Arabidopsis thaliana: one gene and its partner. The protein of the gene in region 1 interacts with the protein of each later gene in a pairwise test. Each region holds a gene or a part of one and is shown on either strand. Other genes may lie near its edges.

Evidence for each region.
Region 2: the proteins of CLE2 (region 1) and AT1G01910 interact in a two-hybrid assay, tested with the Arabidopsis thaliana proteins (one large-scale study listed by BioGRID).

What each region holds. Positions count from the first base shown.
Region 1 is NC_003075.7:10,209,581-10,213,537, forward strand, and holds CLE2 (CLAVATA3/ESR-related 2), read left to right. Parts: upstream 1-1,996; 5' UTR 1,997-2,511; coding exon 2,512-2,739; 3' UTR 2,740-2,872; downstream 2,873-3,957. Other genes in the region: AT4G18501 (uncharacterized protein), read left to right, coding at 1-60.
Region 2 is NC_003070.9:312,164-318,160, forward strand, and holds AT1G01910 (P-loop containing nucleoside triphosphate hydrolases superfamily protein), read right to left. Parts: upstream 3,928-5,997; 5' UTR 3,669-3,927; coding exon 3,414-3,668; intron 2,853-3,413; coding exon 2,728-2,852; intron 2,640-2,727; coding exon 2,489-2,639; intron 2,389-2,488; coding exon 2,278-2,388; exon of another isoform or gene 2,063-2,277; coding exon 1,924-2,062; intron 1,833-1,923; coding exon 1,717-1,832; coding exon of another isoform or gene 1,709-1,716; intron 1,597-1,708; coding exon 1,432-1,596; 3' UTR 991-1,431; downstream 1-990. Other genes in the region: SBTI1.1 (subtilase family protein), read left to right, coding at 1-848; AT1G01920 (SET domain-containing protein), read left to right, coding at 4,041-4,094, 4,181-4,277, 4,376-4,550, 4,629-4,734, 4,845-4,927, 5,004-5,030, 5,131-5,293, 5,398-5,479 and 3 more. UniProt on the Arabidopsis thaliana protein: ATPase required for the post-translational delivery of tail-anchored (TA) proteins to the endoplasmic reticulum. Recognizes and selectively binds the transmembrane domain of TA proteins in the cytosol.

The DNA.
Region 1 (3,957 bases):
TCTTGTGTTTCCCTCAAGCCTGCTACTTCTTCAACCTTCTCTTGTAGAAATTTCAGATGATTTTTATATTTTGGAAAATGTTGTTTCCATTTTCGAATTTTGTATCCCTTTTAATTTTATTTTAATTATGGGTATATATCAATACCTTGCCATTAGCATTCATATACCACACAAGATTTATTTCTATGAGTATACTGGTTTCTCAATAGTTCTGATTCTTGCCGATTATTTGTTCAACGTTGGTATCATTATTATATCTCTGATTTCAACGAATGGGTCTGAATATTATATACAGTTTTTAACTATAAATTTGAGATGAAAATAAAGTTAGTGATTGCAATGACAATCCAGCTACAGAAATTGTCTTTAGGATCAAGGCCTGTCCAATAATAGTGATGGTCCGAATTGAAAATATAAAATTTGGACCATTTTATCTTTCTTTCAGATAATATTAACTCTAAACACACACAAAACCCTCTTGATTATTTTCGACAACTCCTAATAACTTAAAAAAAAATAAAAAAAAATCAAGTTTATCCTTTTAACAAGTGATAGTCAAATAACAAGTTTATCTAGAAATGGGATTTATATCGAAAGTCATACTGATGCAAAACAGAGAAGACCGCAATAAAGAGAGTGGCATTTGACACATAGAGGATAAGAGCATTTTCTTCAATCTCCAGAACAATTAATTCTTTCCCAAACTTATGGTATCTGATCTCATATAATTGTTCACAGAAATAAAAAAAACACTGAATATCACTTTTTATATAAAAAAAAGTATATTCCTTTTATATGTCACCACTAAAATGCACCGTCAAAATAAACGTAACATATATATGTATTCACTGATGTGTTGCATGCATAGTTTTTTGGATAAACAAATTTGCTGACACCATTTACAATGAAATACGGATTTGGATAAGTACTGCTTCATCAGTTAAAACATAATTACAGAGTAAGAAGTGTGATTGGGTCGAAACTTATCCTTTTAAATATATCACTTAACCTCGACTTAGTGGAATCTTAAACTACACTACTATCCACACGTTCTGACAAAAGGTATTACAGATTATAATACCTTTTCTCGATGGTTGAAACTTTTTTGAATATTCTTCTTGTAATGAAATCTCCTGATGAGTCAAATGTGTAAATAGAAAAAGAGTGAAAACCTTCGACTCACCAATACTAAACCAATACAAAACCCATAAGTGCACTCTGCCTTTGACTTCATATTTTCATATTTCCTTTTCTATCTTATTGGACTTTCATGAATCACCCTCCTCGTCCATTATCATTACCTCGTATTATTAACTCTCTCACACGACACACGTATTATAATATTAGTCTATGCGCATACATATACTAATATATAATGTCACTGGATAGGGACGGTCGAGTTATAAATGGTGTAAGGTTTGGTATTGAATAATTTTGCTTTATCGACATTACGACATATATAATTATGTGATTATAATTAGCACTTGAAGCCGTCTCTTATCTCGCTCTTTTTGACGGTCCAATGTAAATACGTATATAAGATTCATATCTTTTTTAGTTTTGATGATGTACTAACGTAAAACGATCGTATATGAATGGATAGAACTTTATCCTTCTTGTTTCGGGGATAAATGGATAGAACAATCCATATTTCAGGGATAAATCTTATTTACTTTTGATCGTGTAAATACTTGTTTCGAGATTAGTTGCTTTTTATTTCGTAATCGTGGTGACCTAACAAATCACCGAGTTTTTTAAATGGATGATTGCATGCATGGCTCAATAAGGGTTTGACAATTACTAACACACGGTGACAAAAGATCTTCTTTCAAAAAAGATTCGATTGGGAACTTTTCTATGTTCAAAATGATATAATCTCAGATAAAATATTCAATTTACTCTATAGATTTACACTGGAAAATGCATAATAATCACTGCAATATATTCACTAAGTTTTTTTTTGGGGGGGGGGGGGGGGATTAGCATAAGATCCATCCAAGAGACAAGGCCACCTAACAAATCAACGACAAATGTTTAAAAATGGAATGCACATGAGTCTAAAAAAGGGCTTGGCCAATCCTAGGCCCTAACACAATTCAGAATATCTATATATTAAGATGTCGATCGTATTAAATATGTGTAGTACACCGTAATGCGGCGATCTTTATCATTCTTTGTACTATTCAAAGTACCAATTTGCATTTTGCAAGTCGCAAGAGTCACTTGCTCAGCTGGTTACAGATTAAATATGATTATTATAGAAGTTTTGGTGATGAAGAAAAATGTAGGCAACGAGAAAAACCGTCCTTGGTGACAACTCATGCTTGCACTCAAGCCTTAAGCTAGCTAAACCTATCTCGCGCACTACTAGAATTCAAATAAAACTCTATAAATAGAAACCCTCATGAGATCTCTTCTTTCCTCATATACACTCATACACACCACGTGAACAATCTATCTCTCTTTCTATTGCTTTTCTATATATACAGAAACTAATTAATTGTATCTGTAATGGCTAAGTTAAGCTTCACTTTCTGCTTCTTGTTGTTTCTTCTGTTATCCTCAATCGCCGCTGGAAGCCGCCCTCTTGAGGGGGCTCGGGTCGGGGTGAAGGTGAGAGGCCTAAGCCCTTCTATCGAGGCTACGAGTCCGACTGTAGAGGATGATCAAGCTGCGGGTAGCCATGGGAAATCTCCAGAGCGGTTAAGCCCAGGAGGACCCGACCCACAACATCACTAGTTATTTTGTGTTTTTCAATTTCTTCGACATGTTTATTACTTATCAATAATTTGGTTGCAACGAAGCTGTTTTTCTTTTTTGTAATAAATTTGCGAATTTACGTTTGTCATAATACTACAAAATTAGTTACAGTTTTATTGATACGTTATCGTACGTTAACTAAATATTCTAAATTTGGTGATTTTACGTTTCAGATTGTATCATTATTATTCACCTTTTACTTTTGATTATTATTTTGAATTTTTACTATACATATAGGCTATAGCAACGCGGTACGTATGACGACGTTGATTTAGATGGTCTTGCATGTACGTACACATGATTCTGTTTTACGATACATCGTGTTTTATATGCCGATTGTGACTTGTATGTTTTAAACAAACAAATATGTATAATTTCGTGTGTCTTCTTAACGGACAAAACAGTAGAATGGAACGTACAATTTAGATGTGGTCGATCTAGATACATGGTCAATTGCATACATATATAAGATTTCGTCCCATAATTACTTGTGTTTTAAATTGATCGTTATCCCGTATGACTTATTCAGTTATTTGGTCGTCGAAACCATGTTACTTCGTTTTTTTTTTTTTTTTTAGGTAAAGCATTGTAAAATATTGATATCTATGAATCGATGCAGTTTACGGTTTACATATTTAATCAAACTGTGTAAACTTGAAATTTTCAAAATTCAACATGTCTATGTTGATTATATGTATGCCTACTTAACTTAAAGCGTTTGCTCCATCGATTTTTATAAGAAAGAGTTGCAAAATAATCTATCAGAAATCTTTAACTAAATATGCTTTTACAGTAAACCAAACACCTAATAGTACTACGATCGTCCCATGGATGAAATGTCATGATGACTCATGAGTGAGAAAGACAGATTCAGATGAAAATCATATGCATATCAAAAGTAAACTAATTAAACAATTGAACATTATACACAAACACATATAATAAGATAACGAAAAAAGCATCGACCTAAAAGTTAAAGAACGTGAAGACCAAAATGGAGGATTATTCGGCTGTAAATGGCATCATATATATAATAAAATCTTTTTTATCGACGAACAAAAGACGGCAAGCGTGAAGCAATCTTTTTTCGTTAAAAGCAAATCGTATTTTTATGAGTTACGCCAAAACCTAATGACTTATCACACGACCAAAATGGACCCTCTTCTAAATGATAGTAGCTTTTCCTTTTCTGTTTAA
Region 2 (5,997 bases), on another chromosome or scaffold:
CCCCGATGGTAGCCGCGTTCTCATCCAGAGGACCTAGCGTCGCGGGACCGGAAATAGCTAAACCGGACATTGCGGCTCCCGGTCTGAACATCCTCGCCGGATGGTCACCGTTCAGCAGCCCTAGCCTCCTCAGATCCGATCCAAGACGCGTCCAATTCAATATCATCTCGGGAACCTCCATGGCTTGTCCTCACATCAGCGGAATCGCCGCTCTAATCAAGTCCGTTCACGGGGACTGGTCACCGGCGATGATCAAATCAGCAATCATGACGACGGCGAGGATCACTGACAATAGGAACCGACCGATCGGAGATAGAGGCGCCGCGGGAGCTGAATCGGCGGCCACAGCGTTTGCGTTTGGAGCGGGAAACGTGGATCCCACGCGAGCGGTAGATCCCGGGCTGGTATACGATACCTCCACCGTCGATTATCTCAACTACTTGTGCAGCTTGAACTACACGAGTGAGAGAATACTCTTGTTCTCCGGCACTAACTACACGTGTGCTAGTAACGCCGTCGTTTTGAGTCCCGGTGATTTGAACTATCCCTCGTTCGCGGTCAACCTCGTTAATGGCGCGAATTTGAAAACGGTGAGATATAAGAGGACTGTGACTAACGTTGGGTCACCGACTTGTGAGTATATGGTGCACGTTGAGGAACCAAAAGGTGTGAAGGTGAGAGTTGAACCAAAGGTGCTCAAGTTCCAGAAGGCCAGAGAGAGGTTGAGTTATACGGTGACGTATGATGCAGAAGCTTCGAGAAATTCGTCTTCGTCTTCCTTTGGAGTTTTGGTTTGGATATGTGACAAATACAACGTCAGAAGCCCAATCGCCGTGACGTGGGAATAAATTTCGCATCTATTGATTGCCATTTTCATATTTATTATATACCAAAGAAACTTATTGAACAAAAGCTTACCCTAAACTTGTAAGAATTTGTCAATAAATCAAAACATCTCTTATTTACTATAATTTTTTTACATGAATTTTCCTTCTCTGTTGCAAGACCAGTCTACAGTATATAAAAAGCTGTTACAAGAGATCATAGCATTCGCTTGTCACAGATACCCTTCAACTTAATATATAAAAAGCTGATTAAGTCGTAAAACAACGATTTCTTGGTAGATATGAGTCTATGTAGTCATGATTATTACAAATATAAAAACAAATCCAATGCATAACAATAAAACAACGCAAAAGAAGATTCTGCTTGATCTTCTTTCCTGTCCTATAAAGAGTTGTTGCTAGATGAAGAACTAGAGAGAAAAAGATTCAGTTTTAATTTTCCACCTATAAATTGTTCAAAACATAAACAACAATAAACCCAAATGACAACGCAGATCCAGAAGACCCCCATGTAGAAAGCAAGTGAGTTCCAAGAATATGGCGAGGAAAGAAACTTACAATTAAAGGGAAGAACAGAGCCTTATCTTTAGCCACTCTTGACCCGTTCGAGTTCTTCTTCAGCTGTTTTTAACTGCAAACGCAATGTGTGTACTTTCCTCTCCAGCTCCTCTACATTGCTCCTGCTAGTGGTAGGATGGTACGGCGTCAAGAACTTATGTGAAAACGCCTTTAAGGCTTCAACCCCTGTCACCTGTGATCCAAACATCCACAACAAGTGTAAATCTCAGGATGTATATTATATAAGGCTTTAGTTTCATTTTCGTCTTGATCATGTTCCTTCTCATCTATATTGAATGTCATGCGTTCTTACCTCTTCCGGAAGCAGAGGAAGCTTTGTGATATTAAAGTCATCGTATAGCATATAAAACTGATCAAGATACTTCTGTTGCATCCGCATCCTTGCTCTGAGCAACTTGGACTCCACATCTACAGAAGACAAGTGTAGATAATTCGTCAAATTTGTATGTAAAACAAGTTCAAAACGAGAAGATAGACACGACAGCAAATAAATAGGCACCTTCGTCGTCGTATAGTACTTGGTTGATGATAATGTTATGCGTGTCAATCTCAAACTTGGCGAGTTCCTGAACAAGTCTCTCTGTTTCATAGAGAGACAAGAACTCGGGGATGCAGACACAAACGAACGTAGTCATATCCTACGTAATGGAGCCAAATGTGTCAATTTCTTATCTTAAAATGCAGAGTTTGTTAGATATGTATCAGAATTTTCACTAATGCAAATGAATGCTGTCAAACCGTATGCTACAGAACAATGTGAAGAATCTAAAACTAAACTTCACGAACAGAGTTAAGAAAACAGTCAATGAGTACTGAAAATAGCAAAGAACTTAAACAATTGAAAAAATGTTACCGGGTCTTTGAATTGCCGATTTACTTGCTCAATCACATCTTTCAAGCCCTCAAGTCTTCCCAGCAAAGCATCCTCTCCGAACTCATCCTCCATGCCAAACATACGGCTCATCTGCATTACCAATCAGTTCCATGAAAAATCAGCCAAAGAAGAAACCAAAGAGCAATATCTGTTGCCAAGCAAACTGAATTTGACAAGCTTAAAGACATGCCTGAGTCATCAAGCCACCAAATCTACTCTTCAATGACATCAACTTCGAAAGTCCCTTTTCTAGTGTGGCCGGAAACTGTAACAGGCGGAGAGTATGTCCAGTAGGAGCAGTGTCAAACACAATAGTAGCATAATCCATTGTTTGCACCAACCTAAGGAAACATAAACATATCAAAATTTGACTGTGATAATACATGGATAAAGGCAGATGATTACTAGAAGAACTAAATGGCTATTTACTTCAACATCTCAGCAAAACTCATAGCCTCATCGATTCCAGGAATCGCATTTGCCAAATCAGAGAATAAACCATCCATCCCGTCTGTACCAGCCATGTCATCAGTTTCAACGGTAGGATCTACCTCCTGAGAAAAGCAAACAAGATTCACTCACTATCAAGAGGGAAGGAGTGTGAATCGTAACCATTTGCTTATAGTATGTGTATATATATACATATACACACAGACACAACTAAGAGCTTCAAGCTTAGAAGAGTAGCCATAAAGTCATCATCAAGCCTGTCTATTAGAGGCGACCCAGAACCACAAAAAACAACTTTTTTTTTTTTTTTTGAATTTGGCATAACTAGCCATGAATTTTAACTACAATAGACAAAAATTCGATTTGATTTGGGGACATCAAATCTTCTTCACAATCCCCTTCCGTATCAAGAATACAAATTGGCGTCCAAATTCCAAACCTAATCCCCAAAATCAGAGTGGGCATATGATAAGAAAGGCACAAATCAACCGTATTTATGCAAGTACTAAATCTGACTTCAAAATCAAAATTGATCCATCAATCTGCGGTTTGAAATTCGTGAATCAGAGAACCCTAATTCCCAATGAGATTAAAATCCAGGAGCGAAACTACCAAATTCCCTCTAAAATCTAGCACGATCTAGAACAAAATCGGAGAAAGCTTACCATGGCAAAGAGATTAGAGAAACCTTGAACCAAAGTGGGAGATTTAGTGAAGCGTTGCTGAAAGGCATCACTAAGATTGTGAGCAGGATCGGTGGAGATGATGAGAACGGAGGATCGAACACTGGCGAGACAAATTGCGAGAATTGAACTGCATGTCGTCTTCCCAACACCTCCTTTACCTCCGACGAAAACCCATTTAAGAGACTCTTGGTCCAGAATGTTCTGTACTGTCGCCTCCGGCAAATCCGCCGCCATTGCTAATTCCTTGCTCGTCTCTCTTCCACTAGTCTCAATCTAAAGAGCTCCTTGTTAGATATTTGGCGTACGGAAGAGTTTAACTGCGGCGAGAGACTTTTAACGCCGCCCGGTTCAATATTTTGGTTCTCGGTTTTGGGATATCACAGCAGTCTTGGTTTGATTTTTTTGGTTATCGTTTTTCACTTGTTCAATTTTTCTTTTTTTGTTAAAAATTTAAATTTGGTGTGTTTAAGTTCATAAACGCTAAATAAGCCCATACAAAAGCCCACATAGATGAAGCCATTACGACAGCGTATTGTGAGTTACGATTGAAAACCCCTCTCTACTCGGTTAAACCCGTCGCCGGCATATTGATCTTCGCCGGAGGATATGGCGATTTCAGAAGAAGAAGCCAAACTCGAAAGGTTCCTAGATTGGCTTCAGGTTAGATCCGGATTAAGTGTTGTTTTTCAGTCCTGATCTGCTGCTCTATATCATGGCATTTTGTGTTTCGATCTAATTTCATTCAGGTGAATGGAGGTGAATTAAGAGGCTGCAACATCAAATATTCTGACTCCCTAAAAGGATTTGGCATATTCGCTTCCACCTCCACTCAAGCTTCCGATGGTATAGTATTGTTCTTACCATTTCTTGCTGGGTTTTTTTCCGGGGAATATGTATGGAAAGTTGATATTGAATTCTGATTCAGCTCTGGAAATTTTCAGAAGTTTTGCTTGTTGTTCCGCTTGATCTGGCCATTACCCCTATGAGAGTTCTTCAGGACCCTCTCCTGGGCCCTGAGTGTCAGAAAATGTTCGAACAAGGACAAGTTGATGACCGCTTTCTCATGATTCTGTTCCTCACTTTGGAGCGTCTTCGTATCAATTCTTCTTGGAAGCCGTAAGTTTTTTTTTTAATCTCTTAGCACACATTTACGTAAGCTTAAGGGTATTCATCTGTCTAGAAATGATATGATAGGTATCTTGATATGCTTCCTACTCGATTTGGCAATCCTCTTTGGTTTTCTGATGATGACATCCTTGAGCTAAAAGGGACTAACTTGTATCACGCAACCGAGTTACAGGTCTCAATCTTGATCATTTATTCCTGTCTTATCATATCGTCCTTAAAATAGCAACCACATTTTCTCTTTTCATTTATTAAACCCAATAACCATCGTGTATTCATTCTCAGAAGAAGAAGTTGCTCTCGCTTTACCATGACAAGGTGGAGGTCCTGGTGACAAAGCTTCTTATTTTGGATGGCGATTCCGAAAGGTTGACATATTTACACTACTTTTAGACCAAATTATTGTTCATTGATAATCATATTTTGTTTTCTCTCTTCGTGCAGCAAGGTCTCCTTTGAACACTTCCTCTGGTATGTTTGGTACTGGTGTTATTCCTTGTTAGTAGAACCAGACTTTTGTGTCTTGTAAAGGGCTGCTTAGTGATCTTGCGACTTTTTTCAATTATGCCAGGGCAAACTCTGTATTCTGGAGTCGCGCCTTGAATATTCCTCTTCCACATTCTTTCGTGTTTCCACAAAGCCAAGATGATACCGGGGAATGCACATCAACAAGTGAGTCCCCTGAAACGGCTCCAGTTAATTCTAATGAGGAAAAAGGCAAGTCATTAACGTCGGTCTGCTGAATTCTGTGTGAAATGCCTCTTTTTTAATTATTATTATTCTATCATGTAACGACAATTTCATGGGTTTCTTCATTTTCTGATGGGTAGAAATTCAGGCTCAACCTGCGCCATCTGTAGGATCCGGAGATACAATATGGGTTGAGGGGCTTGTTCCTGGCATTGACTTTTGCAACCATGGTATGCCAATCTTTGTTTCAAAAAGACTCTATTATCAGTTTCTCCGTTCCATAATGTTGATATGGTTAATGAGTATATCCCAGTGTGATGTGATATAATGACCTATGGTTATGGCAGTATAGATTTGAAGCCTGTGGCGACTTGGGAAGTTGATGGGATCGGATCAGTATCTAGGGTTCCTTTCTCCATGTACCTTCTCTCTGGTTGGCCAAATATTTGTTTGTGTTACCTCTCAGCTTTCTACAATTTTTCAATCAAACAATACAGAACATTCTTTTTCCTCTCTTCTTTTTGATCTGTATGCGGAAAACTAAGTGCTACAATTCTGTAAAGCAGTTGCTCAACGTCCTATCCCAAAGAAGGAGATCTCGATCAGTTATGGTAACAAAGGAAATGAGGTAAGATGTTTTGCAGCTATCTTGTACAACTATATAACTTGTCTCTTGGTAAAAAATCACATCTAGCCCTTTGTTTGAGTGATGTGCCTTCTTGCTGAATGCAGGAGCTTCTTTACCTGT